3 linked regions of the Xenopus tropicalis genome follow. The protein of the gene in region 1 interacts with the protein of each later gene in a pairwise test. Links are inferred from orthologs where the notes say so. Each region holds a gene or a part of one and is shown in the gene's direction. Other genes may lie near its edges. The genes, in order: zbtb9, pin4 and eukaryotic translation initiation factor 4E type 2.

Evidence for each region.
Region 2: the proteins of zbtb9 (region 1) and pin4 interact in binary tests that used the Homo sapiens proteins (3 or more experiments, as listed by UniProt). The two-hybrid records come from large-scale screens. The link is inferred for Xenopus tropicalis from reciprocal best matches to the Homo sapiens genes ZBTB9 and PIN4.
Region 3: the proteins of zbtb9 (region 1) and eukaryotic translation initiation factor 4E type 2 interact in binary tests that used the Homo sapiens proteins (3 or more experiments, as listed by UniProt). The two-hybrid records come from large-scale screens. The link is inferred for Xenopus tropicalis from reciprocal best matches to the Homo sapiens genes ZBTB9 and EIF4E2.

The regions. Positions count from the first base shown.
Region 1 is NC_030684.2:71,790,475-71,800,546, reverse strand, and holds zbtb9 (zinc finger and BTB domain-containing protein 9), read left to right. Parts: upstream 1-2,107; 5' UTR 2,108-2,167; intron 2,168-2,190; exon of another isoform or gene 2,191-2,287; intron 2,288-2,293; exon of another isoform or gene 2,294-2,463; intron 2,464-5,654; 5' UTR 5,655-5,663; coding exon 5,664-6,890; 3' UTR 6,891-9,509; downstream 9,510-10,072. UniProt on the Homo sapiens protein: May be involved in transcriptional regulation.
Region 2 is NC_030684.2:39,709,901-39,721,811, forward strand, and holds the start of pin4 (peptidyl-prolyl cis-trans isomerase NIMA-interacting 4), read left to right. Parts: upstream 1-6,449; 5' UTR 6,450-6,649; coding exon 6,650-6,686; intron 6,687-7,391; coding exon 7,392-7,459; intron 7,460-8,535; coding exon 8,536-8,655; intron 8,656-9,818; coding exon 9,819-9,977; 3' UTR 9,978-11,549; intron 11,550-11,911.
Region 3 is NC_030681.2:101,902,011-101,913,685, reverse strand, and holds the start of eukaryotic translation initiation factor 4E type 2, read left to right. Parts: upstream 1-5,879; 5' UTR 5,880-5,906; coding exon 5,907-5,926; intron 5,927-7,885; coding exon 7,886-8,000; intron 8,001-9,104; coding exon 9,105-9,239; intron 9,240-10,642; coding exon 10,643-10,747; intron 10,748-11,675. UniProt on the Homo sapiens protein: Recognizes and binds the 7-methylguanosine-containing mRNA cap during an early step in the initiation. Acts as a repressor of translation initiation.

The DNA.
Region 1 (10,072 bases):
TAAAACGAAGAACACAAATTTCTAAAAGGAACTCATGTGATTGGCTGCAAGACAATCTTACATTTCTACATTAATCAATGGCAGGTGAGCATTTCCTCATCCTGTGTGGCAGAAGGTCTAAGAAATTTTAATGAGCATGTTCATTCTATGTTCAGTTTCCTTACTTGTATTTATGTAGATTTTTCTATTCATTTTTAGTTGTGGTCAAACAAATCTTGAGAGAAAATGGTTAAACCATTTATTTTGAAGTTTTTAGTCATATATTAGAACTTTACCCAATCACCAGGAGTCCCACCTAAGAGAACTGATATACCAATAGCAATTAAGCTCAGATCAGGCCTTATATGCAAGGAGTCATCCCAGGTGCTCAGGTATAAGGTTCCAGGGTGAATAGCCATAGGTGGGGACCATAAAAAGGGGATACGCCAGCTTTGTGTTTAGTTTCCCCCAAAAGGCACTCAGCCCCAGAAAAGTAAGATATATTGATACCCTTATGTAGGGGAAGGGATTTAGTTTTATTAACAACATCTCTTATGGGAGGCTTTGGCATAGCTGGAAGATACTGAGCCCCACAGGAAAATCATTTAAGGGTCCCTGTAAACTATCTAAATACTATAATGAAATTCATATGTTAGTGCCCCACTTGGCCTCCTATACCTTGTCTATATAGCTGCACTCCTGCAGGGATCTCTCCACTAGGCACTAGTCTTGGGTAACTTTCTTCTCGGGTCCATGCTGCCTAGAGATTTGTATCCGCAACTGTCAGAACAATAAAAGAGAAGGGAGAATTGAACTGAATTGATATTTTGTAATGAAAGTATATTGGAGGTAGGTTTCTGGAGGTAAGGAGCCTGAAAGGGGATTTTATTTTTGACTTTAGATCCCCTTTAGGATCAGATCCACCTTTTCAGGTCACATATTCCCAGTATTTGTCTGTATATAATTAAAAAAGTCTCTTCTCACATACCATTTTTCTTGACTGTGTCATATGATATAGTTGTGTCAGTAAATAAAAAAATATTTTTAACAAAGAAGTATCATATATATGTAATTGCAGGGGCTAAGTATCAGTGTCAGAATGAGATGCCAGGTGCACACTGCCAAAACTTTAATTCCTCCTCTCCTCCTTCAAACTCTTTATTATCCTAGTCTCTTTTCTCTACATACTAACGTTTATTCATCCATTTACCAAGCTTCCATGTTCCCATCCAGAAATAGGCTAAATAGTTAGAAGCAAGAGGGCCCACTGACACCTGGGCCCACAGGGAGTTTCCCTGGTATCCTGGTGGGCCAGTCTGGGACTGGTAGGTATAATTAAATATGAACTTTGGACAGTGGATGCTTGCATTGTTGTACCAGTGCAACTTTGCCTCAAAAATGTGTCCAGAAGGGGGAAGGGGGGGCCTGCTGCATGCCCTGCACCTGGGCCTGGGGAGGTATAGTTCCGCTACTGTTTGGAAGCATAAATCAGTTTGGTGTAATGATCTCTTGTACCTGTTATCAGTGTTGGACTGGAATACCAGGGGCCCACCAGAAAACCTTAGAACATGGGCCCACTCTCCAAAATATTATTCTCCTATTACATGCTAGCATCTATTTTTCCATCTATTATTTGTATTTGTTCCCATTCAGAAATAGGGAATGACCATGAAACAGGCCAAATGGTTTGGAGCAGGAGGGCCTACTGACCCCTGGGCCCACCGGGAGTTTCCCTGGTATCCTGGTGGGTCAGTCTGACACTGCCTGTTATAAACTTAAAATATACCAGAGAATGCATATCACCACATAATTTCACATTTAAATATTCCTTTTTATCTGTACTTCTTCTATTTGCTCCAGCTCCCTATTTTGGTCCATCACACTAAAACGAATCATTTATTAGTTCTTTGACCTGGTTAGTAATTTGTATTGGATAATGTATGTGAAAGCAGGCTACTCAGCCTGGAGCTTTGCAGGCAATAGTAACATAGTGCTGTGAGAGGCAGATCACTTGGCACACCACACAGCTATAACCCTCTATGGAGCAGTTTGTATCATAGCCACGGTTTATTACAGCACATTCATACTACTTGTGCTTGTGGTAGGTTCCTAAAGGAAAGAGCGCAATATATCCCCCTTCTGGTCTCCAGGGGTAACTACAGGTGTGAGCGGCGCTCTGAGACAAGGGGTAAGGTAATGTTCGTCCATGTGATACAGGCCCGGATGTTTCCTAGCTCGTTTTCCCGGGGATAGCGCCTACTTGTCCCTCCTCCTTACTCTCGTAGAGATGTGACTACGGAGTCCCAGGGTTGGTTATACTTGTCCCTGACCGCGTTTTGCATGGCTCCAATTTGATGGTTTCCCAGGGTTACACACGTTTGTCCCGCGTCTGGCCTCCACGGGCCTGGCTATGTTTGTCCTGCCGCTGGTGCAGTGACGGGCTGCTGTATTTAGGGAGCTTCAGGGGAGCAGGGAAGTAATACGGTATGTTTCAGGGGTGGGGTTTATAGCGCCTTTGTGAGCAGTGCACTTATCAGAACTCACAAACCTGTGTCTAGTCTGTGGCCTTCTAGCTAGTTTGGGACTACAGTTCCCAGCATCCTTCACATACAGCCGAACTACAGCGGTAGAGTCACTATTTACAGTAACGGACACCAGTAGCAACTATGTACCATAAGGCCACAGGCTGTATTGATTGGGTAATGGGTGTGTGGGCCTGGCTGGGAAGGGAACAGGTTATCGGATAGCATTTTGTTATATGTACTTGTATTTTGGGCCTTATTGCTCCTTGTCCTCCCTCAGCCCTGTCCCACTGCCTGATCGCTAGGGGAGACTAAGGTACAAGCTCGCAGGGGGACACATAATAATGGGACACATAGCCCAGTAAGGAATGAGGGATAACTGGGGCAGTGCTGGGCATCACTTTCCTACCATCACTCCTGCCATGTAAATGGCTGCTAACAGATATGGAATTGGCTGCCCTTTATATGTTATAATGTTTCTCTGATGCAGATACATGAAATCCATCATTAGCTGTGACCAAACAAAGCCTCACACGGGATATTGTGTTCAGGGGAGACAGTATGTAGCCATGACAGGTGCTTAAACCAGTGATTTCAGGCAGATATTTTAGTATGTGAGTGACTTTGGGCATTTTAAACATGTTTCTTCGGCTGATAAAAAATATGTGGTGATCAAAGTGCAGAAAACATGCCTTTTTTGAAGGGTGAGCGCTTACGAGAGCCTGAGGATTGTCCAGCAGACAGTCACACTGTTCTACCTGGTGCCCAGCACTCTATATACTGAGCTTTTACATAAGTGCAGTGATGCCAAAGTAAAGACGGCTTGTGGGCACATAGCAGGGACTATTTCTCTGCACCTTGCTCAGAAAAACTGTTATACATTTGCAGCCCTGCACTGGTAATTTATTTAAAGAAGTAAAAGTGTATACAGTCCCTAATGTTGTGGCCCAGGCTTTTGGGTGTCTTGTAAAAATCTTATTTATAGTCTGATTATCAAGAGAGCTTGTTGGGTTGCAGCATATACACAAATATCCCTGGTGAAGCCTCCTTGGTTGTTTAAAGATGTTGCATCATTGACAACCCTGCATATTAGACTTAGGTACAATTATAATATTAGCTAGGCTTGTGCTCTCCAAAAATGTTTATTAATTCTGAAAAGTATAACTATAAACACCAATATTACTCCATGTGATATCTACACCAGGGGACAGGAGCCTAGTGTGGTACTACATGCCTGTCAGTGCCTGGCAGGATGGATCTTGTCATGAAAATGCTTGTGTGCACACAGACAGGAAGATGTCTTTCTGTCAGCCAGGGTTTGAGTAGATTGTCTTATTCTCTAAAAGAAAAAAACCCTGGTGTAGCATTAATTGTATAGTTTCATTTTTTAATGGGAAAAAGCAGTAGTTGCAGTATTAAACAGAGGGTTATTTTAGTGTATTGTATAGGTGCATTGACTCCAAAAATGAATAAATAAAAAAGTTGCCCTGCATGTTTCATGCCTTTCATGAACACTACGACGTAGTGCCCTTGAGCAGTATGAAACCATTTGCACTGTATCAATTTACTTCTAAAATATTTAAAATATTTTTTTGTATTTTGGAATTCTTGCATCCTGTTCCAAAATAAGGTAGCCACACGTAAAGATGGCCACATGTGCCAGATTCAGCTGCCCATATCAGTCCCTTAGAGCGATTCAGCAGCTTATTTGCCAGTGTATAGGCACCATCGACAGGCCTTCCCAAACGGCATCTGACCTGAACCAGTGGCACCTATGCCTGCCATTTTAATTTGATTGTTTGGCCCTAGTAAGTGGGCATATCGGGAAAAGATCCTCTTGCTTTATGACATTGACAAGCAAGCAGACCTTACAGTGTATGGCTACCTTTACGAAACACAGTTTTGTGAAGGTAAACTACCACTTGAAGTCTGCCCCCCAGTGCATGTATGTATATATATAATATATTATATCAAATTATTCTTTATTTAGCGCCAACATATTCCATAACTATCCACACCTGTCCCTGCCCTAGCGGAGCTTACAACTTAAGGTGCATATAGCATTCACACACGATCATTTTTCGATCAGAAGCCATTTATGATAAATGTTTTTTCAGTGTGGGAGGAAACACAATCATTGATAACGCATTAAAACTCATAGTACCCTCACTGGAATCAAACCTATTACCCCAGCACTCCAAGAAAGCAATGCTAACAGTTACACCACTGGTTCTTCATCAAGTACATGCATTTTGTCACTGTGCACCCCTTTATACTATACAGCCTTTTTTTACATAACAATTTCAGTATGATCTGACAAATTATTGAATTATCGTATGGGTGGTGTGCACCCAACAATCGTACATCTGCTGTTCTTTCCTCCGACATTGGTCAGAGAATTGATCGGACAGGTTTATACATTTTTGTCTTTAAACAGTGAAATTTGATGGGATGGACAGATTTCGATCCCTTAACAATTTAGAAACTGTGCATGTGTGGGGCGGTGTTGAGATCACAAAATGATGACAAGTGTCATCAAACAGCAGTAAATATCTATGGAGTCTCAAAAGAGAAAGGAATCTCACAGATATAAATTAAATATTGTTTACTTTTTTTTACATAATGTACAGCAACAATCAAAAACTGAAAAAAATACAACATAGATTGTCCATAGGACATTACAAAATTGTTTGCAGGACCAAGCAAGCAGCTACCACAGTTTTTCCTTTCTTTTTTAACTTTTAGCATATACGTCACATCCTTTTCCGGTTTGGGCTTCAACTAGACAATATCACTTGAAATGTTCCTTTTCGTTGATGGACAGATCATATGCGATTGTTTTATAATAAGCATGGTTGTACATTAATAAAAAATCGTTTACAAATCTACACGTGTATGGCCACATTAAATCACTGTGTAGAAGAGGACTTGGTATTGGGTGCAGGTTGGGAAATAGCTGGTTAGTGTCTGGTTGGGGTATGACCCCTAATAAGTCACAATTTACTGTCTGCTAATGACTCTTCCTATTATATAAATATATTCCTCCCCCCTGCCCGAATGGAGAGTATTGGATTTCATGTTTTAGCATCTTTTATCCGTTGAGAAGCACTTGTAATTTTTGCTAACTTCATTTCATTTTCTCTGTCTTACCAGGTAGCCACAATGCCTGGAAGTGAGAGCATCCAGCTAGATTTCCCCCATTACAGCTCTACACTACTAGACACCTTGAACAAACAACGATTGGAGGGAAAGTTCTGTGATTTGTCAGTTCAGGTTCAAAGCAGAGTTTTTCGAGCCCATAAAACAGTTTTAGCAGCTTCCTCTCCATATTTTCATGACAAGCTTCTTCTAAATGACACAAGTTGCTTAGTTCTTCCAAATGTCATCCAGCCTGATGCCTTTGAGAACCTTTTGCAGCTCATTTACTCTGGTCGGCTATGCTTGGAAATGGAGACTTTGCCTTCCCATCTTCTAGTGGCCAGTGGCTTGCAAATGTGGCAGGTTGTAGATCGATGTTCTGAGCTGCTAAAAGAGAGAGAAATGCATCATCCCCAGGCTTGGTCTAGCCGTGCAAGTGAGAGTCAGTCACCCAGTAGCAGTTTTCAGCCCCCACGCGATGATCCCCCACCTCCATCAGTCTCTTTGCCAGTTTCTCTTGGCTGCTCTGATGATGAAGAAGTGATAAAGGTACGTGTGTCAGAAGAGGAGGAGGAAGAAGAAGACGATGCTCAGAATGGAGCCAATCTTTTGGAAGAGGCTGTTTCAGCTAATTGCTCTTATGCCCTTCCTTCCTCCTCATCCCCAGCAAGTCCAAAAGTTTATTATATTAAACAAGAGCGGCCAGACCAAGATAGTGGTTACTTAAAGACATTTGGCATGACAGAGATTCAGGCTGATTATCCCTCAGAACTGAGCTTTGTTCTTCCTCCTACATCATCATCATCTTCTGATGTTTCTCTCTGCTTGCCTCGTAAAATACATGATGTGTCAGATTCCCAGTCCTTTACTCTGTCAAAACCTGTGGACCTTCATGGTAATGAGATAATTTCCCATGCCCTTCAAGCCCAAACTATTCATGCTCCACTTAAGCTTGTTGCAGCTCCTGATGGGAAAAAGTTTGGTTGCTTGTGTGGCAAACGCTTTGCAGTGAAGCCCAAGCGGGACCGGCACATCATGCTAACCTTTAGTCTTAGACCCTTTGGCTGTTCTGTCTGCAACAAGAAGTTCAAACTTAAGCACCATCTTACTGAGCACATGAAGACTCACGGAGGAAATCTGTATTCATGTGAAGACTGTGGTCGTAAATTTAGGGTACAGAGCTGTTTCCAGAAACACAAGGAGGTGTGTAAAGGACAGAGGTGGGCAGGGGCATGTTGGACCTATAAATAACGTTCATTTCTTTTGGACCCTTATGAATTGTAGTCTAAGTCATCTAAAGCAAACAGTATATGCTGGATTTTACTGCATTGAAATGAATATGGAGGAGCATGCAGTAGCTAGTGATCTGCCCACCAAAACCTATTAACTTTTTCAGCCTTTATTACAAGGAAATTCTGACTCCACAACATTTCTCCTTTTGCAACATTTTGAGCTGCTTCTTAAAACCCAAAGGCCATGCATGAGAACTGTCTAGCAGAGTCTGAGCAGTTCAGATCCTGGATGATAACAGTTTGCCAAAACTGGGTGATATATTCACCAGCACCGCTATATTGATAGCAAAGTTACTGTTATGTATAAAAAAAGGAGTCTTTGGGTAAACTGTCTGAAGCTGCATTTCGGCACTGTTGGTAATTATCAGACATAAGTTAAACCTCAGCTTACTGATGGGACTGCACTGTTGCATTGCTGTTTTAATGGACTCCTTCACATCTAACCTACGTTTTCCATAGGAAAATATATGGACCATATTAGCTCGCTCCTCCTTGTCAAGGTTATTGCAGTAGCCGCAGGCATTGATTGGTTACAGTTTAAGTGACATTTGCACGATACATGTAGGCAGAAAAGCATGACCATCTGAAGTTAGTATGTAAATAACTTTTACATATCTACAATCATGTATGTTGTGAGTATATCATTCTTTACATGTATAAAGGCTTGTCATACGAATCATAGTTAGCTAGAAGCACTGAATGTCTGAAACAGTACAAATGTTTGTTTCTGTCACTTTGTGGGGGAGTAGTCATTTTATGGTGTAGGTACGGGAAGAAGCTTCTTGTTACTAGACAGTAGACCAATAACTGTGATGAACAGTGTCTCTGTGGGGACTACCTAAATCTGATATTAAAGCAATATTTCTTACTGTAAACAAGTATAGTTTGTGTCAGGAACCTAAAGAACTCCTTTAGCGTGTTTCTCTGTAGTGCTAGGTATTGGCAAGTGAGGCCAAGCTCTGATTTCAGATGAACAGTCATACTGATTTCTATTGGTGGGAAGATCAGTAGTTCCTTACTTTAAACTTATAAAGTAATGCTGGTAGAGTAAATCTATGAGAGCGAATAGCACATACATAAGTGATTAGGCATAACCGTTTATGCGTCGGTAACTAAACCAGACCTTAGTAGCACCACCAGTGATCTTTAATAATATAGCACAATAATAATTGGTGATATTGTATGATACAGATACTTTTAGCAATACAAATACCAGTGCAGTTCTGCATTCAGGTTGCTGAGACTGTGTCCCTGGGGAATCAGTGCAGTATGCCAGTATGTTAGTGCCTTCTGGCTAGGCATACGTAGGGTGCTCTTAATGCTAGCATGAACACTGCTTGTGCCCTCTGTTATTTGAAAAAGTAAAACCTTGTTTTCAGCAAATAGCAAAGAGAGAAATCTGTGCCAAGTCCCATTTTCCCAAAGGACTAACCAAAGTAAGCAAATCTGTAGTACTTAAAAAAAATGTATCTTTGTATTTAGCCAACTGAAATATTAATATATGAATGTATATTTACATCTCTATTGTAGGACATCCTTAGCACATATAGAAGTGTTAAAGACACTATCTATTCTGCTTTGGGTTATTTTAGCCAATATTCTGTTTGGCTGTAAAAAAAAAAAAGTTTTTTTTTAACCAGAAGTCCCGCTTTTTATTTAGGTGTTTAGTATCAACTCTGCTGTGTTCAGCCATGTTTTATCTGTAATCTTAACAAGGCCCCACTCTCAAATCCTTGCAGTAAGAAACTAAACATATTGGTAAATAAAAGAATGCTTCCTTTATATAATGCATATAATGTTATAGATGACATAATAACATTTCTAAATGCGTTATGGAAGCTTCATTTCCTGGTGTTACTGGTCTCTTTGTAAATTGTAAGCCTATTTTAACCAAATAGTTTAACTTTTTGTCTATGTATGACCTACAGTGACCAACAATATTGGATGATTTCTCCCAGAATAGACTGCACCTTCAGCCAAAATTGAAAACAAGTTTAGGAGGTCTATGGGATTATCCATAGGTGCGTCCAAAGTTTACAGCATATGCGTATATAGTGCTGAACATATATGTATAGCTTCGATGGCTATACGTATAAGGCACTGGCTATGGCATACTGCAAGCCATAATCCATCTGGGAATCCACATAAGGCACTCAAAGCCCCGAATAAAGGAAACATAGACATAATTGCAGGAAGATAAAAAATAAAAAGCTTTACACATTCTGTTCCTTGGGGCACTTAATCATACATAGGCTACTGCATTTGTGCCTCACTTAGTATTAGGACAAATTGACAGACACTTGTCTGTAGTTCTACTTTCCTTTTAACCTCTGCTGAAAGGCTGTCTGAAGGCCCATTGACTGGATATTCTTGTAAGAGAAATAGAAGAACTGGTTCATTGGGTAACCCTTATTAATCACAGTCCTACTATGATAATCATTTGTCAGCAGTTGTCAAATGCCCCCCTAAGTGGTTGATAGCAGTATCAGTCCAATGATGCCTATCATCCTGTTCCTCTAGTCTGATTGAAGACATATGCATCTTAAACTCTCTCTGGAATAAAAAAAATAAAAAACGACTTAGCACTGATTCATGTCTTCTCTGCAGATTGCTAACTCTCCGTTACAGTGTGCAGCATGTGCTTAAATGAAATATATTTGGGGGCCAGGGTTGTACCAGATCTAAATGTTTAATAGCAATCAAACTGGCTAGCTGGTGTTTCAGTTGCATGCATGTGTCTTATATGGGGAAGGGGTGACTGCAGAAACTGTCAGACAAAGTGCCAAGGTAGAATATCTTCTCTTTCAGAAATACCACTTGGACTAAGAATTCAGGAATTGGATAAATTTTAACTCACTGGCGGAGAGGACATACGTACAAAAACACATTGGACATTAGTCTTCCAAAGCTCACACCTTGTTGCCCCCCATATATAACCCCTTACTTGAGATTTCCAACACCCCCACCCCAAGCCCCAGTATATCCACCAATCAAAGTCTGATGTTCTTGTTTACAGGTCCTTCTCAAAAAATTAGCATATTGTGATAAAGTTCATTATTTTCTGTAATGTACTGATAAACATTAGACTTTCATATATTTTAGATTCATTACACACAACTGAAGTAGTTCAAGCCTTTTATT
Region 2 (11,911 bases), about 32 Mb from region 1:
CCACACCTTTACCACTTTATTTGCAGGCAGAGAAAATGAATGTATTATAATAATTCATCTTAACTTAGATTAACCCTATACTTACAGTGAGTTACCTGCAGAGAATATAAATGAGGAGGCTAAGGAAGATGCAAAAAATACTTGAAGATCTTCCTTCTGGCGAATCTGGTTGTGTCACACTAGAGCCCCAGGAACCTGAGAGAGAGGAAGACAGGGAAGATCACACTTAATATGCAAGGCTGCAATCTAACCTGTATCTACTATATACTATTACCTGTACACTTGCATTATGATTTTGACCTCATATATCCCAATAGTGATGTGCCAGTGAATGAAGAAGACATCACAGGGCCCTCACCCTGGTGACTATAGCCCCACTCCAGGTTTGTCAGGCAAAGGAGATGCCATTAGACGTGACTGAAAGCACATAGTAACATACTCCATTAATAATGGAAACTAACACATTAATTATGAATCTATCATCTATCTATCAATCACCTTTTTAATGTCACGCAAAACACAATTCCCGTTTCTTCCCTGACAGAGAGCTAAAGTTCAGCAGTTTCATGACAAGAGAATTTCTCCACATTAAAGTATTAGACTGGGGGAGCTTTGGCACAGTAACTGATTCAGTCTCTAATTAGAATATGATCATTTAGAAGAACATACAGGGGAACAATCAGTTTCCCTAAACCCACTCTTTTATTCCAAACATATATTGTGCCCTTAAAGTGCATAAGAAGCAGAATATCGACTCCACTAAGGATATAGAACGCTGGGGTCACGGGCACAATCATTTCTATTTTATACTTTTATTTTCACTTCCCTTCATTTATTTGCTTTTGTTATTATTATATCTCACTCAATGTTGGACTAATCTTCTCTTTAACTTCCAGCATTTTAGCCACAAAGAGAATAAGACAGTTAGTCAACCCGAACATCTTTATAGTGGATTTATATGCCGCATTCACTACATAAAAACAGCTCTTTGTGATGGAATTTTGGGCAGGAGGGGGTCTAAGAACTCACCTGAAGAGGAGTGGGCACTTTGATCTAAAGAGAACTAAGTATAAATTAAATGAATATTTGGGCTTTATACATACCAAGAGTTCTATGGGACTAAAGAGTAGGGGAGGATGATGAAACTGGCAGAGAGCTATGCTACACTAATGAGTCAGATTCCCATACAGTATGCATGTACCATAAAATGATCAGAAGTATATACCTTGCAGGTTCCTTCTCCTTTGCTGCCTGTATAACCCTACATCTGGAAGTAATATACACCAAGGATGTTATACACATCTAAGAGTTAATGAATGGGCAGGTACAGTTGGTTACTAAATGTATAAATATGTTACATTTAAAGGGGTTATTCACCTTTGAATTAACTTTTACTATGATAAAAGTGCTATTTTGCAATTGGTTTTTATTTTTTATTTGCATTTTTAAAATTATTTAGCTTTATGTTCAGCAGCTCTCCAGCTAGGAATTTCAGCAGCTATCTGGCTGCTAGGGTTCAATTTAACCTAGTAACCAGGCAGTGCTTTGAAAGAAAGACAGAAATATAAATAGCGAAGGGCCTAGATAAAAACATAATTAATAAAAAGTAACAATAACATTGTAGCCTTGTAGCCTCATAGTTTTTGGCTGCTGGGGTCATTTGAAAGCTTGAAAGAATCAGATGGGACAAATAAATAAACTATAACAAATAAAAAATGAAGACCAACTGAAAAGTTGCTAAGAATAGGCCATTCTATAACATACTAAAAATTAACCTGAAGGTGAACCACTCCTTTAGGTGGTGAGTACAATTTGGGGTTTTGTAGCTGTTGCAGTTTAGCAGCCGGGCAGCTACAGGTTGGAAGTCAGTACCTGGAAGGCTAAGGGAAGGAAACACATTTTTTTTTAGCTTGGCTTATGGTTCAGCTATGTTACAGTAGTTTTATTGTCTCATTATAATATATGCCTTTTTATATTAGAACATTGTGTAATCTAGTTTGATTGACTGATGCTTACGTAGGTCTGCCTTATTATAATAGTGAAATAAAAGGACATGAAGGGGGCGATTACCCTTTAGCTTATACAATGCTGTGAATGGTAGTAATCAAGTTAACTATGCAACTAGACTTTATGGCTTATAAATGGTTCCTATTCTATTCTCACTTTCTTCAAAATGCAAAGTAAAATGCCATCTGGTATGGTGACGGAATCTCCCACCACTGAAACTTCAAAGCAGGCTAAGTACAAGGCTAAATACTACTGCTATTATTACTTTACTCATATAGGCTAGCATAAGACAGTTTAAAGAGCCAAGGAGGCGAGGAAAGTTTGGCCTGTACAGCTTTTTATATCGATAGGCGAGAGGAGAAATCTCTGGCTTCTATACATTTATTGGGAAATTGCAAAACTGAGAGTGTGCCAAGGCCAGGGGACTGCTATAGATCACTTATCTGGCCAATAGAGGCCTAGTAGCTGTATTTAATTACATTCACTTCAGACACAGGTGCCTCATGGCTACTTCATACCTTTTCTTAGATCCACCAGTTCAGGTACCCCACAAGCTAAACACAGACCAATTCCAAAGGGGCTTCTCACAAAGCTGAGAATATATCACTATCCCATGGAATTGCAGTGTTCAGAGTCAATATAAAAACAGATTCTATACACTCACAGTTACAGTTCAATAACCATATAGTTCAACTAACTTGGGGTCGGTGCATTTTTGTAAGAAATGTATCACACCATGTATAAAAATCCAAGCAATAAAGGAGGAAGAGAGCACACAAGCCAGGAGTGTGGTGTACCAATGTACCACCAATGTGTTTATTGGGGAGTATTTAAATCCAAATTACCAGGCTTCCATCCCTTTTGTCAGCAATAACCTCATTGGAGGTACCTTGGGTACAACACAATCTTGGCTTGTGTGCTTTCTTCCAGTTTTACTGCTCGGATTTCACTTTTCAGTGTACTAACCTCTCTCCTTCTGAACTCTGAAGCACCAGCACCTCATCCTTTACATGGACTTCTGTCTGCTTCTACTGAAACCTCCATGTAGGAGACCTTCCTTTAGCTATTAATCTCATCACATACCACCTACCTACAAATAGGGCACATTGCAATAGGACTTCATACTACCATTTTCACTGGCATTTGGTATTTTTAATTCTCTACTTACACCAGAGGAGGGTGCCCAATTTAACCTAGCCAAGTGACTACCTTTTCTCCAAATAGGTGCTAAATAACTAAGAATTTCTGCAAAAATACACTACGGGTTATTTTACAATCCACAAACCCCATAACTGGAAACAACCACAAGTTGGTCCCACAATGCTGTCATTGGGGGGCAACCTTATATTGTAAACAGCTCCCCTTTACATATAGACTAACATTTTATTAGGCCTTGAAGTGACAAAATGTCAAAGTGAAAAGTTTGCCAAGGATTTCATTTTTTCTTTCCTCCTTTTCAATAGGTAGCATATGGACTTTGTATTGCACTGCATTATTGTTTTATGGTACATGGGCAAATACAAAGTTCAAGAAGAGACCTGACCAAGGTATGTGCAATAGTCCTGAAACAAAGTCACGGCTTTACTGCCAATGAATTGGATATTGCCATTAACTGAATGTTTTCATGGTGTACCTTAACTGCTCCAGCTTAAGTCTTAAACATTTATGTTGACTAACAAACCATATAGGGGCTGGAGTAACAAGCCTTCCTAACTTACTATTATTAATATGTCTATAACATACTAAAGGTCAGTCTAAAGGTGAGCAACCTCTTCAAAGGAGACCTGTCACCCAGATATAAAAAGCTGTATAATAAAAGTCTTTATAAGTAAACATAAAAATTCCAAAAATTTTTTTATTAAAACATCCATACCTATTATAAAGTATTTAAAAATCTCATCTGTAAATCATATATTGCTTGCCTCTCCTCTATCCCACAGACATAGAGGTGGAGAGGCCATTTGGCACTTCCTAGATGTCACTGCATGCCTCTCATTCCTCCTCATTAACTATTTTTGTGTACCCTGAGCATGGGCATCAAGTGCCAGATTCTGGAACACAAACAAGATTTTGGATGATGCAAACCTTGTCTTAATAAATGTTGTTCACAAAATACCTGCTTGCTTGTGATTATGAATTCCAAGACAACTAACATGAATAGAAAAGAATTTGAAATTATTTCTTAGGGTTACAGGTCCCCTTTAAGGACACTGCACTTGGCTGTTTTTTGGGCAAAGCAGCTTGTAGTTTAAAGGAGACATATCATATAAAAATCAAGAAAGTGCCAGTGAATTATACTCTAAATACAGAAGGATTGTGTTTAAAAAAAATGTGTTTTGGACTGATTTATTGAGAAATTCCACCAAAACCCTACTAGCCCCTCTCTGTTACACTTCATGAACTCTATGGATGTGCAGGGGGGGCTGGGGCACTCAGTACACTGCAATGTAGAATAGGACCCAATCAGCAGCTAGACTGACCTGATAGGGAACTGAAGTCTGTCTTTGCCTGTGTGAATGCAAGGTTGTGATTGGCTCTCCCCCTCCTGCTGCTGTGCTTCTGGCAGGGACTGCCCACCCTTCATTTGAAACAGGGACAGAGAACTGAGATGATCTATAAGGAGCTCCAATAAAGGGGCCATTTTTACAGATAGGATTCACTTTTAACCCAAAGTGAAACCAGCATCATATATTATTTATAATGGTCTACAGAATTAGTTTTTTTTCCCATTAATCCAATATGTCTCTTTTAGAGCCCTTAATACCCCTACAGACATGAATGTACTTTACATTAGTTGGATTTTCATCCCCTAAAGTTACTTATTACATGCTTTTGCAAAATTAATAAAGGTTACACACATTTCCACCGGTACTAATAGTACTTCCTATGACAGATTACTAAAAGATACACTATTTAAACAATCATTGGTATGTCATCCTTGCCACCAAGGATCCTAGTAGTGTAGTCCTATTGGTGTCCTTTATCCTATTGGTGTCCTACACCCTATTGGTATCCTATACTCTATTGGTATCCTATACTCTATTGGTGTCCTACACCCTATTGGTATCCTATACTCTATTGGTATCCTATACCCTATTGGTGTCCTACACCCTATTGGTATCCTATACTCTATTGGTATCCTATACCCTATTGGTGTCCTACACCCTATTGGTGTCCTACACCCTATTGGTATCCTATACTCTATTGGTGTCCTATACCCTATTGGTGTCCTACACCCTATTGGTATCCTATACTCTATTGGTGTCCTATACCCTATTGGTGTCCTACACCCTATTGGTATCCTATACTCTATTGGTGTCCTATACCCTATTGGTGTCCTACACCCTATTGGTATCCTATACCCTATTGGTGTCCTACACCCTATTGGTGTCCTACACCCTATTGGTGTCCTACACCCTATTGGTGTCCTACACCCTATTGGTATCCTATACTCTATTGGTATCCTATACCCTATTGGTGTCCTACACCCTATTGGTGTCCTACACCCTATTGGTATCCTATACTCTATTGGTGTCCTATACCCTATTGGTGTCCTACACCCTATTGGTATCCTATACCCTATTGGTGTCCTATACCCTATTGGTGTCCTACACCCTATTGGTATCCTATACTCTATTGGTGTCCTATACCCTATTGGTGTCCTACACCCTATTGGTATCCTACACCCTATTGGTGTCCTACACCCTATTGGTGTCCTATACCCTATTGGTGTCCTATACCCTATTGGTGTCCTACACCCTATTGGTGTCCTACACCCTATTGGTGTCCTACACCCTATTGGTATCCTATACCCTATTGGTATCCTATACCCTATTGGTGTCCTACACCCTATTGGTGTCCTATACTCTATTGGTGTCCTATACCCTATTGGTATCCTACACCCTATTGGTGTCCTACACCCTATTGGTATCCTATACTCTATTGGTATCCTATACCCTATTGGTGTCCTACACCCTATTGGTATCTTATACCCTATTGGTGTCCTACACCCTATTGACGTCCTATACCCTATTGGCGTCCTATACCCTATTGGCGTCCTATACCCTATTGGCGTCCTATACCCTATTGGCGTCCTACACCCTATTGGCGCCCTACACCCTATTGGCGTCCTACACCCTATTGGCGTCCTACACCCTATTGGCGCCCTATACCCTATTGGCGCCCTATACCCTATTGGTGTCCTATACTCTATTGGTGCCCTACACTCTATTGGTGTCCTATACCCTATTGGTATCCTATACCCTATTGGTATCCTATACCCTATTGGTGCCCTACACCCTATTGGTATCCTATACCCTATTGGTGTCCTATACCCTATTGGTATCCTATACTCTATTGGTGCCCTACACCCTATTGGTATCCTATACCCTATCGGTGTACTGCATTTTCCAACTATTTTTTTTATTCTCTAGTGGTAAAACCGTAACTAAGGCAACAATCAGTTCATCACATAAGAACCTTCAACTGCAAACTCGCCGCAGCAAATCTTTTTGTTTGGGACCTAGTTGTGCGTTCCAGGGATGGAAGCAGCGCCTCTCGATCCCGGAAGTGCAAACTCCAGACCCGGTGACGTCACACGTGCGACTGGCGCCCCGAATAGTCGCGGAGAGTGGAAGGAACCATGCCGCCAAAGGGGAAGGGAGGAAAGGGAGCTAAAGGTAATATGTGGAATATAAAAACCCTAGGTGCGTTGCTGGGAGCGCTCTGCAAACAGGGAGGCTACTGTCATGTTGTGCAAGTTCTTTCCTGGAAGCTGATTTACAGTTAAACATCTGCCTAATTATATTCACTGTTTGTTTCTGTAACGTGATTGAATGAATTCCATAGGCTATAGAAATCCCATAACATGCTGTTAGTGCAAAGGGAAATGGCAGCTAGCAACAGGCTAGAGTGTAATAAGGCTTGTCTTGTTACATATAAAATATTCTCCTCAAACATCTGCCGCAGGGCAAAGACACACGGAGCTGCTTAGTAGCAGCTACTAAATACCAGTAAATACCCTGCCATAGACAATACTAAGAATTGCCTCTGCTAAAACATGCGTAGAGACAATTATCATTAAATCATCAGCATTGTCTATTTTAGTAGCCGCTTCTAGTAGCTCCATGTGTCTTCACCCTAAGGGTCTTTTGGGGCTGGTCCTAAATTTTGAAGGATACCAGTGGCAGCATTACATTACTGTGTGCAATGTTTTGTTGCCATAGATACCTTGCGCTCCAGCATGTGCTTATATTATTGATTCTGTCTTGAGCTAATGTCTTGCTAGTAACAAGTAAACAGTATAAAGATAGCAATGTAACTTCCTAACGTTAGTAGTGCCATGATTATGCCATGATAATGATTTTTTTTAATCTGTGGTTTAGGTGGAGCAGCCAGCGGGGAAGCAGCTGATAAGAAAGCACAAACGCCCAAAGGGGGAAATGCTGTCAAGGTAAAGTATAATTTATTGTTTTATATATTTATTGGGGGGGGGGGGGGGCAGTAATTTTTTGGGGTATGTGACAGAGGTAGATTGCTAGCTGCTGCTTTTATTTGGAAGGTTATGACTGTTTCCAATGGTGGGATATAATAGACACATTTCTCAGCAGGATACAATACAATTCAACTCTAGCCAGCTACAAGTAACAGCTACTAACCTCACTGTGTGATGAAAACCTTATTGTAAGACCCATGTCTATTAAGTTTGTTGCTGGAGGATTCTGACTGGAATGTCCTCTGTCTAGAGACTTAAGGTGGCCATACACGAGCAGATCCGCTCGCTTGGCGATGTTGCCAAGCGAGCGGATCTTCCCCCGATATCCCCACCTACGGGTGGGCGATATCGGGGAGCATTTAGGTAAAAAAAAAATAATCCGATCGTTTGGCCCTGGGGCCAAACGATCGGATTATGTGGGCGGCAATGGGGCAGTCGGATCGGGGACCGCATCAACGAGCCGATGCGGTCCCCGATCCGACCGGATTTTCTAACCTGGCCGATCGAGATCTGGCCAATTTCAGGCCAGATATCGGTCGGCCAGGCCACTCTGCTCTCCCCATACACGGGCCGATTAGCTGCCGAATCGGTCCAAGGGACCTATATCGGCAGCTATAGTCGGCCCGTGTATGGGGACCTTAATAACCCTTTATCATGTGACTCTACATACGGCATTTATACTGCTGCTCTATTACATCTCCAGATTTAAACTATTGATCTAAGATTGTTTATTATGACTGTTATAATTGCTAATCTTTACACATGTAACATGCAATTGAAATACAGTAAACTCAAAAAAAAGGGTTCTGTTTGGAGCACAGGTAGTTAATGAATGGAGCTGGGCTACTTTGCTATGGTTTTCAGATCACTGCAGACACAAACAGGCTTTTAAATGTCCCTCATGGGAACTGTAACATAAACTAAAAATCCTAGTATCCTGCAACGGTCTCCCTGTGTTGTTGGAGGGGCTTTTATGTACAAAGTATCACTAGTGTGGATTAGTTTGACCTTTTCTGATTTCCCCTCTCGTCTAGGTGAGACACATTCTCTGTGAGAAACATGGCAAGGTAATGGAGGCAATGGAGAAGCTAAAGTCTGGCGTGCGCTTCAGTGAGGTGGCAACACAGTACAGCGAGGACAAGGCTAGGCAAGGGGTATGGCCTTATCTAAATAAGATAATATTCCATATTGCTAGTATGATCTTTCTATATATCTACAGCAGGTATCTTCCATAAAAACACTTAGATCCCCTTTAAGTGAACCTAAACATTACAATTGCTCAGAATCTTATTTACAGCACCTATGATTTTTTTTTTTTTTTATTTCAGCAATTTTTAAGATATTAGCAATTATATACTGCTAATGTTTGGCTCATCTTAGCGGCTGAGAAAGAGCTGCTGTGTCAGCAACTGCAGGCTAAACTGGATATTCCAGCAGTCACAAAGTCTTATGGAAACACCACTTTGCATATACTGTCAGGGTCGGACTGGGCCGCCGGGACGCGCCTGGCTGGGGGCACCTGCAGGGCCCCTGGGACAGGAGCCCCGGTGGGCCCTTCACCCCCCAGTCCGATCCTGTATACTGTTGATATCATAAAAAGCAGGGGAGTAGCTCGGAAACTATTTTATTCTAAGTGAGTTGAAAGGAGGAGGAAATCTTGGAGAATAAATCTTTCTACAGGAAGTAATGTTCCGCACATTCTTTATAATATATCCTACAGGATCCACAGCGCATTCCCTCTGGTTTTATGAGTCATAATGGGCTATCTTTAAAGGGCCAATATACTTCCTTTTTAATCCAATTCCTCCAATAGTGCTTCTCTGGTTTTATGAGTCCACAATGCATTATCCTTAACAGAGCAGTATACTTCCTTTTCAGCATGAGTGCAATGAATAATCTGGGCTTCATATAACTTTTTTATATTGTTTTAATCACAAAAAATGAGCTAAACAGGGAAATTGAAGCCACTCTGTTTGGGCCTCCAGGGGTAGATAATCAGAGTCCCTAAGTATGTGGTAACCTGGCAAGGGAGTATCCCAGTATATACACAGTGTTGGTTCTTTAGGACTGTGATTGGCTATTTAGTAGCCCCATTTAAACTACTAGTCTGCAGAAGGCTCTGCTTGGGGTGTGTATCTGGGCTTCCAAACTTGCCTCCAAGCCACAAATGTAAAAATGGCACCGACTTTGAGGCCACTGAAAACAAGATTAAAGGGGGTGGGGAGCAATACGTTCACTGTTCGGGGGTTACTGGTTTACGTTTTTATTGAGAGAAAAGCAGCTCATTAACATCTGCTTTATTTCACCACTTTTGCAGGGGGATCTGGGCTGGATGACAAGGGGCTCCATGGTGGGACCTTTCCAAGATGCTGCTTTTGCCCTTCCAGTCAGCACAATGGACAAACCTGTTTACACTGATCCTCCTGTGAAGACAAAGTTTGGATATCATATCATTATGGTGGAAGGAAGAAAATAAGCAAACCAAGCAGGACAGTGTCCCTCACTGCCAATTACCTACTACAGCAAATTGTGTAGGGGGTAAATTCAATATGATATTCTTGTACTTTTTGTAGCATTTCTTGCACTGATAGCAAGGAAAGATGACCCACAACTCTCCAGTTGGTGTTAAAATACGACTCCCAACATCTACCCAGATGGCAAGGGATACAGAGGAGGTATAATATCCCCCAAAAGAATGGTGGTCTGATTTAGCCACTTCTGTGTATAACAGAAAATGTCTAAAAACCGCCCACAGGCCAGATACTATGAGTGGCCATTCACAGTTTACTTTTCATTTGTTTCATTCTTGTGGTCCCAGTGCCCAAGTGACTTTAACTGCAAAAAGTGAAGATACGCTGCAGTTCCTCATCTCTTCCTCACCTACTGATGCACCAGGCACTGACAGATATAGTACATCAGCAAATTACATTTTCCAGTATGTCCAATTGACAAACTGACTAATATCCATGTTACAGAGATATTAGTTGGAATTATCCCCCCCCCCCAACATTCACAAAAACACTTTGTACGATTCTATCGGTATATATAGGATTAATTTATGGCTGTGAACCCACTTACTGTAATTTGCTACTACAATAAAACCCCATTCTTTGGTTATAGTCCAGATGTTATTTTTGGATTCCTGTTAAGGAACCTCCTCCGCACCAACTCATTGATTATGGAATATTTTTCGGTTTCTGTTCATTTATTATTTGTGATCCTCCCAGTCAGGTAAATAAATGTCTAAAATATGTTTTTTACATACCCATATAAATGTCATATTTGCACTTTCTACTGTCACATATTTGAAGAAGAGGAATGTGCCAAAGAAACTGCTCAAGATGGATCATTTATGCATTCAGACAAGCTATAGAAGGATTCTGAGAGGCACCTTCCCTGAAGTAAATGGCTAAACAGCAAATTATTCTAGCAGTAAGTTTCCCCCAAGCAGGTAGCAACATGAGCTTATAACACTAGTAGGTTTGCTATACAACTTATTTTACTTTCCTTTATTACACAGACAGTAAAAAAATCAGTGTCTATTCATTGATTTATTTTGTGCACAGGAAACACATGGTGCCAATGTAGTTTACAGCTGTAGAAGGTATTTATTAAACCATAAATAGTATTTTCCGCATACACAATTGAAAATATCAGCAGTTCTGTTATAGCCAAGAGGCACTTTAGTAGGGGTAGCAGATTATTTTTATTCCAATTGCTCTAATCCAGAAATGCCAAATGCTGATTGGTTAAGAGACTGGGAAATTCAGCCCTGTTGCTTTGCTACCCAAAGTTTCTGGGTATACATGTATGGGATCCCTATCCGGAAACCAGTTGTCCAGAAAGTTCCGAATTACAGAAAGGCCATCTCCCACAGACTCCATTATAAGCAAATAATTCTGATTTTTAAAAATGGTTTCCTTTTTCTCTGTAATAATAAAACAGTACCTTGTACTTGGTCCCAACTAAGATATAATTACCCCTTATTGGAGGCAAAACAAGCCTATTGAGTTTATTCAATATTTAAATCATTTTTAGCAGACTTACAGTGGTGTGAAAAACTATTTGCCCCCTTCCTGATTTCTTATTCTTTTGCATGTTTGTCACACTTAAATGTTTCTGCTCATCAAAAACCGTTAACTATTAGTCAAAGATAACATAATTGAACACAAAATGCAGTTTTTAAATGAAGGTTTACGTTAAGGGAGAAAAAAAACTCCAAATCTACATGGCCCTGTGTGAAAAAGTGATTGCCCCCCTTGTTAAAAAATAACTTAACTGTGGTTTATCACACCTGAGTTCAATTTCTGTAGTCACCCCCAGGCCTGATTACTGCCACACCTGTTTCAATCAAGAAATCACTTAAATAGGAGCTACCTGACACAGAGAAGTAGACCAAAAGCACCTCAA
Region 3 (11,675 bases), on another chromosome or scaffold:
TCGCCCCGCCGCGTCTGCCATCCCGCCGGCGACTTACATGTTCGCCGGTGGGATGGCAGGGGTAGGCAACTCGGGGAGATTAGTCGCCCGCGAACAGGGAGTTTTATCGCGGGCGACTAATCTCCCCCGTGTGCCAGAGCCCTTAAATGATTTGGACGTTGAAGGTGAACAACCCCTGTGAGCCCTACAGATTGCAAACAGACAGTATGACATAAAACCAATCTAAATGTCCAGTCCATAGATTTCTTCATCTGGACGCCAGGTCCTTTAACCCTTTTACTGCCAGCTGTTTTGGTCAAAGCGGAACTTGTATTGCCAGACAGTTTTTGAACATTTTGCACTGTTTCACTTTAGGGGCCCTTCCTCGGGGGGACTTTTAGTTTACCCAGGAAAACAATATATCGTTTTTTTCAGAACAACCTAAGCTTTCAAAATATGGTAGAATTTTTGTGTAATTCCAATTCTGTAACAAGATATAGGCTTCTAAATGTCTAAAAATACAAAAAAAAAATCAAATTTTCCATAATATAATCACACATACTAGAAACAAAAATTATTTTATGCACGAATATACAACTGATTTGGAAAGTCCCATGTCTTCTGAATGTGCCAATACCAAATATATATAGTTTTATGGAGATTTCTCACTTGTATAGGTCAAAAACTCCCAGCAGTACACTACCAAATTTCCAAAGCACTGCTTCAGAAAGCTGCATACTTTAGATTTCAAGGCCAAAAATTCCACTAACAGAAGGTTTATCCCAGAAAATTTTACATTTTTGGAAAGAACAGATTCTGGGGAATACAGAATAGGCACAACTGTCTGTCTACTCCAAACTATCAAGTCTCAATGCTTTCCTAAAGTTATTGGTTTTTATCAAAATTTGTGATTTTTTTTTTAAAAATCGCTTCAAAGCTTCCAGTCTATGGTATCTTATCTCCTACAGGTCATAAAGTAACCAAATAAAACACCCTAAATATGAATGCCAGGGGTCCACTGAACAGTTTGATGCCCAATATGTATAGGTTTACTTAAGTATGTGGCATGTAGGGGCCCCAATGTGAACATACCCCATATGTACTGTCATTTCTGTCATTTCAGCTCCTGCAAAATCAACACATTTACATCATTATATGTGGGATAAAGCTAGTAAAAAGTACGCTCACCCCAGAAAGTCATATATTTTTGGAAAGTACACATTCCCCCGAATCTAAAATGGGTACCCATGTCTTTCTACTCCAAAGTACCAAGCCGCACAGCTTTTCTAAAGTTAGCAATTTTGATGACATTTCCAAAAATCCCCACAAAGCTTCCACTTTGCAGCATCTTATCTCCCACATAGCATTAGGTACCAAGATAAAACACCCTGAATTTGAACGCCAGGGGTCCACTGAATAGTTTGATGCCCAATATGTATAGGTTTACCTAAGTATGTGGCATGTAGGGGCCCCAATGTGAACATACCCCCATATGTACTGTCATTTCAGCTCCTGCAAAATCAACACATTTACATCATTATATGTGGGATAAAGTTACAAAAAAGTACGCTCACCCCAGAAAGTCATATATTTTTGGAAAGTACACATTCCCCCGAATCTAAAATGGGTACCCATTAGAGCTGGGCGGTATGACCAAAAATTTATATCACGGTATTTTTCAAAATTATATCGGTGTCACAGTATTTGACGGTATTTTTTTTTTTCCATGCATCATTAGGTGTTAACCCCATTTCCTAATAAATTAGAGAATAATTACTGCAGTATTGAAAATCAGAGTCAGGCAAGCGAAGGATCGGCAACAGAAAGTCGTAAGGTAAATCAGGCAGGCTTAGTTTCCCAGGCAAGGCCGCAGACAACATAGCACAGGAGGAGGCGTTTGATAGCTTTAAATACCCCCCACGAATGCGCAGAACCGGCGCCGTCAGCGCGTCACGGGCGTGCACGCTTTGACATGTACGTGCACTTTGACGCACGCGCGCAACGACCCGCGGACAACGGGGCGTGCACGCAAGGAAGTACCCTGACACCCCGGTATTGCGGTATCTGAAAAATGAATATAGTTTTAAAAAAAAAAACACCGGTATTCGGTATTAAACGGTATATCGCCCAGCCCTAGTACCCATGTCTTTCTACTCCAAAGCACCAAGCCGCACAGCTTTTCTAAAGTTAGCAATTTTGATGACATTGCCAAAAATCCCCTCAAAGCTTCCACTTTGCAGCATCTTATCTCCCACATAGCATTAGGTACCAAGATAAAACACCCTTAATTTGAACACCAGGGGTCCACTGAACAGTTTGATGCCCAATATGTATAGGTTTACCTAAGTATTTGGCATGTAGGGGCCCCAATGTGAACATACCCCCATATGTACTGTCATTTCTGTCATTTCAGCTCCTGCAAAATCAACACATTTACATCATTATATGTGGGATAAAGCTAGTAAAAAGTACGCTCACCCCAGAAAGTCATATATTTTTGGAAAGTACACATTCCCCCGAATCTAAAATGGGTACCCATGTCTTTCTACTCCAAAGTACCAAGCCGCACAGCTTTTCTAAAGTTAGCAATTTTGATGACATTTCCAAAAATCCCCTCAAAGCTTCCACTTTGCAGCATCTTATCTCCCACATAGCATTAGGTACCAAGATAAAACACCCTAAATATGAACGCCAGGGGTCCACTGAACAGTTTGATGCCCAATATGTATAGGTTTACCTAAGTATGTGGCATGTAGGGGCCCCAATGGGAACATACCCCCATATGATCTATCATTTCAGCTCCTGCAAAATCAACACATTTACATCCTTTATGTGGGATAATACTACAAAAAAAAGTACGCTCACCCCAGAAAGCCATATATTTTTGGAAAGTACACATCCCCCCGAATCTATGATGGGTAAACATTTCTTCTTGCTTCAAAGTACCAAGCTGTAAAGCATTCCTAAGTTTGTAGATTTATATGACATTTCGAAAATGTTGCAATTTGCCACATTTATCTCTCACAATTTCTTGATAAAGATCAGATAAAGACAAATCACCCCAAATAGGAACACCAGAGGTCTACTGAACAGTTTGATGCCCAATATTCATAGATATACCAAAGTCTGCGGTATGTACTGAACCCAAAATGAAAATAGCGCATAAGGATTTCTCGCCTGCCAACTCAGCTTTTGCACACAGAGCCCCCTGTCAGTGTATTATGTGCCAAAACGTCCCCTAACTATACAGAGACCCCCACAAAACCATATATTTTTGAAAAGTACACATTCTGACAAATCCAACAAGGGTAAAGAGTCCTTTCTACACCAAAGTACCAATCTGCAGAGCTTTCCTAAAGTTATTGGTTTTTATGACATTTCAGAAAATCGCCTAAAAATGTTGCAATTTGCCGCATTTATCTCACACAATTTCTTGCGTACAAAGGCAAGTCACCCCAAATAGGAACACCAGAGGTCTACTGAACAGTTTGATGCCCAATATTCATAGATATACCAAAGTCTGCGGTATGTACTGAACCCAAAATGAAAATAACGCATAAGGATTTCTCACCTGCCAGCTCAGCTTTTGCACACAGAGCCCCCTGTCAGTGTATTATGTGCCAAAACTTCCCCTAACTATACAGTGACCCCCACAAATACATATATTTTTGGAAAGTACACATTCTGACAAATCCAACAAGGGTAAAGAGTCCTTTCTACACCAAAGTACCAATCTGCAGAGCTTTCCTAAAGTTATTGGTTTTTATGACATTTCAGAAAATCGCCTAAAAATGTTGCAATTTGGCGCATTTATCTCACACAATTTCTTGCGTACAAAGGCAAGTCACCCCAAATAGGAACACCAGAGGTCTACTGAACAGTTTGATGCCCAATATTCATAGATATACCAAAGTCTGCGGTAAGTACTGACCCCAAAACAAAAATAGCGCATATGGATTTCTCGCCTGCCAACTCAGCTTTTGCACACAGAGACCCCTGACAGCGTATTATGTGCAGTAACCCCCCCTAACTATACAGAGACCCCCAGAAAACCATATATTTTTGGAAAGTACACATTCTGATGAATTCAAAATAGATAAAGTTATTTTTGTACACCAAAGTTACACCTGGCAAAGCTACGCTAAAAACAGATTAGGAACACTTATACAGGGATAAAATGCGATAAAACCACAAAAATTGTGCAAATCAGTGAAACAACAGCGTAATTAGTGGTCAGAATATCTGATCCAATAGTCACGCTGTCAAAATAAACAGTTTTTAGGTAAAAGAAACTAAAAACAAAGTGGTAAAATGAAAAAAACAAAAACAAAGTGTTTGTGTATACATGTGTAAAAGTTGTGTGATAGTGTGTAAGTGTGTATATGAGTGTAAATAAGTGTATAAAAGTGTGAAAAATAAAAAAAAAAAACTGCTAAAATGTGTGCTGTAAGTGTGTATAAATGTATGTAAGTGTGTAAATGAAAAAAATAAAAAAACTCCTTACCTGTCCTGAAGACCCGATTGCCTCCTCCTCAGTGGGCCGGCCGGCAGGGGGGAAGTAGGAAACGCGATGCGATCGCATCTGCTGATTCCTGGAGGGTCCTGCAAGCGATTGTCTCGCAGGACCCTCATGACAGCCCCCCTGGCAGATGCCGCCGCTGCAGAGAGCAGCGCTTAAATGCCAACGACGTATGGGATTTAGATGCAAAGGACAGACACACATTTAAGTGTGTGTCTGTCCTTTGCATCTAAATCATTTATTTACTACATTCAAGTGCACCCATAGAGCAAGCTATAGTGCGAGGTTGTTCTCAACCTTAACGACGTATGGGACACGTCATTGGCATTTAAGCCCTTTTACTGCCACGACGTCGTTGGCAGTAAAAGAGTTAAGAGCCTTACTGTGGCACTTAGGAGCCACCGTAGGGCACTGCTACCATGTTTTTTTTTTTTTTTTTTTCAATTATTTTTGAACAATTTTTGGCGGTTTCACAACAGTTCACACTTCCAATCATGTACTTTGAAGGATTAACACCTTCATCAATGAGCATCATGGTACCACTGTGATTGTATCATACCTTGTAACACCTGTCAGTTTCAGCTAACACCTAACTGAACAAGTTCAATGGAACCATTGTGATTGGATGTCTGTGACTCTACTACCATCAAGAGTTTAAATACCGGGGAATTCCCTACCAGTCATTTGAACTGAAGAAGCCACTCGGATGAGTGGTGAAATGTTTTCAAGATAAACTCAGAAAAGTCCAGTTGTTTTAGACTTAATTCTTCTAGATACTGTATATCATGACCTGGATGAATGAGAATCTTCATAGACATATTGACCCTCCCATATGTTTAATTGCTGGAGTATTTCCCTTCAATGCCAAAAAATAAAAATTGTTGGTGAACTTTGGATAAAATACTTTTAGCTCCTAGTTGTTGTCTGTGCTGCAACCAAATTCAATTGTAGAAATCCAAAAAGTAGGAAAAAATCTTAAGCAGGTTTGCTGCCTGCAAAACATTTATTTTGGGTAGTGTTACCCATAATAAATGTTTTGCAGCAAACCTGCTGAATTATTCTAGTCACATAAAATAAAAGTTCTGCATTATCAATAAGCTTTTACGTAGAGCTGTTGTATTTCCTATACCATTTAATAATTGCTCAAACTTATTTTTAAATCATATTGAATACAAATACGTCCTTGTACTTCCAGCTAATCTACCCAAAGCACACGGACCTAACAAGCCCTTATATAATAAAACGTCACAAAACAAACGGCGTCTGCGTAGTTTGCATTATATTTTTGTCCCGAGTGGTAACATCTTCCTTGAGACTAAAGTTCCGCATATGCACCGGAAATGGCAGGTTGTGTGCGGAAGAATGCTAGGGTGGGAGCGGAAGTGGTCAGGAGAGGAGCGGAGCGACAATGAACAACAAATTCGATGCGTGAGTGTGGAAAGACTGAGCGGAGTTATTGTACGGGTCTTCCTGACAGTCACCATATGGCCTGCTCGCCAACCCAGGCAGCATGCTGCCATTTATTAGTATAGGCGCTCTAATTGCGCTGTAGCTACTGGATTCATGCCCTGTGCCAATTACACAGCCATTGGAACAGTTTCTTGTAGCGTTCCATTAATCTGACACACCCATAATGCGCACTCGGTAGCGGGAAGGATGCGCTGCACATTTTGCAGTTTGTATGCAGCAAAGTGAATCAGCGCCGTGCCAGGTGCTTGTAGTGTTCGGTTATTAAAGGGATTTCATTATCATTCTGTTATTAAAGGCATATATGCTCCGGAATAATTATTGAATTGTTATGTGAGCTAATGTTTCATATTTAGTAATCGTGTAGCTTTGGGGGAAGGATGATTTATTGTATCCTTGTAGATGTGGAAATGCATTTCATGGTACTGCTAATTTTATCTGGGAAAAACAACAGCCTTGTCTTATGTTAGGTATCCTTGGGCTTGTCAGATGCTTTTGCTGGATGGAAAAGTTTCAGGCTGACCCATGCTTGAACGTTGAGACTACGGGAGGAGGCAGGGAGTCATTTTAAAGGGGACCTGTCACCCTAGGAAAAAAAATCCAAATTGTTTTGTATTGTGTTTGTCAAGCAAAATGAACTATACTTACACTATGTCCTTCAGTTTTGGAATTCACAAACAGGAAGGCTCCATTTTGTGGACAATGTTATTAGGGCAAGCTTTGTATTATTCCAAAATCTTGTTTTTGAGCCTGATGCCCATGCACTGGATACACATTAGGTGGTGAGGAGGGAGGGGGAAAGTGAGTGCTCAATGCAAAGTGAAAGTAATTCTCTGCCCCACCTCTATGCCTAAAGCATAAGGGTGGGGCAGTCAATATATCATTGACTGCTGAGATTTTTAAATGCCTTTATAATGCATATGGATGTGTTAATAAAAAAGGAATTTGGGTTTCATGTTTAATTTGAAAATTACTTTCATTATACAACTTTTTATGTCTGGGTGACAGGTCCCCTTTAAAAACTTTGCATTAAAAAACAAAGCAGACTAAGAACCAAGAATTCCACCCATTTTCCATAAACCTTAGATGACTTGAAATGCCATCTACAAGTCCAAGAAATTGCTTCCAGTCCTTAGTAGAAGGATGATGGTAGGAATTTCGCTGGATTTTAACCCGCTGATGCTGTTGTGAGGTGAAGACTGGACCTGCAGGTTTCATGCTGTACATGTGTTATAAATACCTGGCATGGTGTAATAGTGTGTGAGAATGAAAGATGGCACTGTCCCTTTGCTTTTTATAGTTGTGTTGATGTTTATACATAATAAATTGAAACTTTAGTTCCTTGCAGCAAATGTGCAGCCTTGAAGTCCAGAGAATCACATACATGTCAATGTAAATCACAGGGAGCAAAATCACATGGAACCGAAAATCCCAAAAAAGACTGAATCCCCAAAACAACTGCATTTGTATACATCTGTTTATACATCTGTTTATATTTGTGATATACAGGACACTTACACTTTGGCACAAGAGTTAGGAAGTAGGATTTCTGGAAACAAAATACCAACCTTCCAATATTTTTATCATTCTGCCCAATTGATAACATTTGCATCAGGATTAAATTTTTCCAGCCTGGCTGGTAAAATATCGACCAGGAGGCAACCCTAGTTATCAATGATAATGTCCCAGATTGCACTGCATTGTAATTAAAAGGTACCAGAAAATAAAATATATGTATGTTTACTGATTCACTAATCTCTGGGTTGTTTTAAATCATTTTGGGATTCACTTTTATATACTATTTATTTATTATTATTATTTTTTTTTTTTGCTCTTTTTTCCTGTAGCTTCATGGTTGGCTTCCAACATTTTCTCTAAACCTCTAAACGCATTGATTGTTTATTTTATTTTTCTTTTAAGTCTAAAAGATGACGACAGTGGGGATCATGATCAGAACGAGGAAAATGGCACACAGAAAGACAGTGAGAAGGAAAAAAATGAGAAGGAAAAAAACCAAGGCTCTTCTAGGAAAAAGGTGTGACCTAAAGAACTACAATTTACAAGTGAATATTTTAGGGCCGTGACCGATGGGGACATTAGTCGCCGGCGACTAAATCTCCCCATAATGCCATCCCACCGGCTAGATTGGCATACGCGGCAATTTGCCGAAGTTGCCTTGAGAGAAAATTTTGGCGCTGCATATGCCATCCCACCGGCGATTTACATTCTAGCCGGTGGGATGGCATTATGGGGAAATTAGTCGCGCGGCGACTAATCTCCCCGTCTGTCACAGCCTTGAAAGTGATACAGTGTGGCCATACAGAGACAGAGTGTCATCATACTGGTTAATTGGCTATATGTTAATGCAATTTAACCATGGGCTTAGGTGGCAAAATTGCAAAGATGTAACAGATCAGCCTGTGGGCTGATTGGTATCATGATGCCACTATGGCCTATGCATTACCAGGTTGGTCATTAATGGAATATGCACTTGGGTCATTGGTTTGCATTTTAATTGCTCTTAAAATTCTGATTTCATCTTCATATAAGTAACAACAATAGGCAAACACAATCTTGCATAAACACAGTCAGTTTTAAGTGAACCCTGTTGCTGGTGTTCAAAGGAACCAAACTGCCAGTAGTATGACATTCCTTGTTGCCAGGGGTATTTACAATTTGCAGTGGCTAGACTGGTTGAAGTTGTAACTACAGAAAATAAAGTACCTTTAGGACTTCCTGGGAACCAACTTGGTCCCACATTTTGTTGTGTTTTAGGTATATTAGAGACATGCACTAGGCACCAATACACCTATATACCAATATATCCTTAATCAGGGGGCATTTACACTTTGTTTTTTTTTGTTGTAAATTTAACATAGAAGAGCACAGTGATTTTGGACTAGCCATAGGTGAGTGCTTAGACCGATTTAGCAGTCCAGTTCCTCTGCGCTTACATGACAAAGCTGGTGACATAATTCTTGCCTTTAGAAAATAATAAGTTAAACGCTATTCAAAACAGGGTACATTTACCATGTAAATACATTCATGTTGTGTTTGTTCAGTTGCAGCAGAACATATATAATGGTTCCGACGTGTCTTGTTGGCAACTTTAATCCCTGTAATATTCTGTGTTTCTTAGAGTGTTGTGCCAGGTCCAGCCGAGCACCCCTTACAGTACAACTACACATTTTGGTACTCACGCAGAACTCCAGGAAGGCCAACCAGCTCCCAGAGCTATGAGCAGAACATTAAACAGATCGGTACCTTTGCTTCTGTGAGTGTACTGCCTCTAATAGCATGACAGTTTTGCATAGTCAGACATGTGAGCAAATGCAAACTATTATTTAAAGAAGCATTGAGAAAAAGGTATACAGATTATATCAGTTCATCCAAATGTCAAATGTGCAGGCTTATCTAATGTGTATGTTGTCATTTGTCTTCCTTTGTGTATTTATATGGGCAATGGCATGAGGAATTTAACACTGTTTTATCACTCTGAGGGATTGAGACAAAATACTGCAAATGTTTCCCATTTAAAGTGAATAGGAAAGGCCACCATCACATCTTGTTCTGCTTATTGACACATGTCTCAAAAACATGTGGCTCTGCTTTTTTTGCACAATACATGCCTACTGCTAATTAAGGTGAGGTGCCATTCTGATGTTTTCCATTCACTTTGAATATGTCCCTCGGAACAGTAAATCACCAAGAGTCCATGTAAAATGCTTATGTTATACAGCAGGGATCCCCAACCTTTTTTACCTGGGAGCAACATTTCAATAAAAAAAAAGCTGGGGAGCAACACAAGCACAAAAGCTTTCCTAGTAGGTAACCAATAAGGACTTAGATTGGTTAATTAGTAGCCCAATGTGTACTGGCAGACTACTAGAGGCTCTGTTTAGTAGTACACATGGGGGCTGATTTACTAACCCACGAACGGGTCGAAATGAGTCCGATTGCGTTTTTTTTTTGTAAAGATCGGTATTGTGTGATTTTTTCGTATTTTTTGCGATTTTTTCGGCGTTAAAACTTACGCGAAACTTCACACCTTTTAAGTTTTAACGCTACGAAAAAGGCGCAACTTTTCGCGTAAGTTTTAACGCTACGGAAAAATCGCAAGATTTTACGCAACTTTCGTAAAGGCTACGAAAAACTCGCGTTTTTACGCAAAAATCGTATTGGTAACGAAAAATTCGTAAAGACGCCGAAAAGATCGCAAAACATACGAAAAAGTCGCAAAATGTTCGTTTTCAAGTCGGAACTTTTCCAATTCGGGTCGGATTCGTGGGTTAGTAAATCAGCCCCATGGTCTTTATGCCTCCAAAACATGTCTACAAATCAGAAATTCAAAAATGGGCACCAACTCTGAGGCCACTGGGAGCAACATAGTGCTCATGAGCCACTGGTTGGGGATCACTGTTATACAGCATGATAGTATAATTTATCTTCACTTAATTTAAATCAGTAAACTTTGCTTACAGTTATATCAATACTCCACCTACTGCTGGTTTGTTGGGAAATCATATTAAAAGCAGGCCTAAGATTGTTTTTTATGCAATGAATTTAGGTAATTGGTGGCAAATTACTGTTCCACTATACTTTGCAAGAAACTGAAAAGCATTTGGAGATACTGCATGGGTTTAACTAAGCTAATGCTGTTTATGTACTTTGTCACAGGTGGAACAGTTTTGGAGGTTCTATAGTCACATGGTACGTCCTGGGGACCTGACTGGGCACAGTGACTTTCACCTCTTCAAGGAAGGGATTAAACCAATGTGGGAGGTAAGAATCAACAAGATAATAGGGCTTCTCAAGAAAATAGCAGTAAGCAAAAAATGAAAACTAAGGTCAGTGGTTGTTGGAATTTTTCAGAAGCCCCACTTATTGGTCCAACCTCTGGTCAGGACCCCCCTTAACTCCCAACAATGGTACAGATGTAGAAAAACCTGTGCCTCAACACAGTAAGTTTATGTGTGAACACCCCAGTATAATGGTAAGGGATTGAGAAGACTGTAATTGTGAAATGTCACAGGCTGCATGGGTACATCCCAGCATTATGTGAAACCTGTTTTGTAACACTACAGCTTTATAATGCAAGGATTATCAAGCCTGTATGGTTTTACCCCAGAATAATATCAGGACGTCTCCTTCGCTCCTCTCAGAGCCTCTGTTTTTTTACACCATCCACACCTACTGCGCGCTCTCATCTTAAACCTTTCTATCTTGCTGCTGCTTACCTCTGGAACACTATCCCTGAATCCCTCTGTAGGGAACACACACACTCTCTCTTTAAGAAAAAGCTCAGCTGTTACTTTCTGGAGCACTAAAACACTATTTTGCCTAGTCCTGCGCTTAAGGGCAAATGCCCATACCTGGTGCACTCTTACTTTCGAATTTGTGCCTGTATGTTACCCAACCACTTAGATTTTAAGCTCTACGGGGCAGGGACCTCCTTCCTACTGTGTCTGATACCAAATGGCACTTATAGCTTTATGGCTTTAAATATGAAACAGTAGAATGATATTACCTTTAATTAAGCCACTGCTTTGAGTTGCTTGCTTTTTTTAAAATCTCGTTGTTTACTATGTGACAATGACAATAAAGATATATTCTATTCTATTCCCTGTGCATTAATATATGTTTATTGTATTTATTTATTATAACACTTGTCCTCCCTGTGTGTAATTTTGTAAGATTGTACAGCACTGTG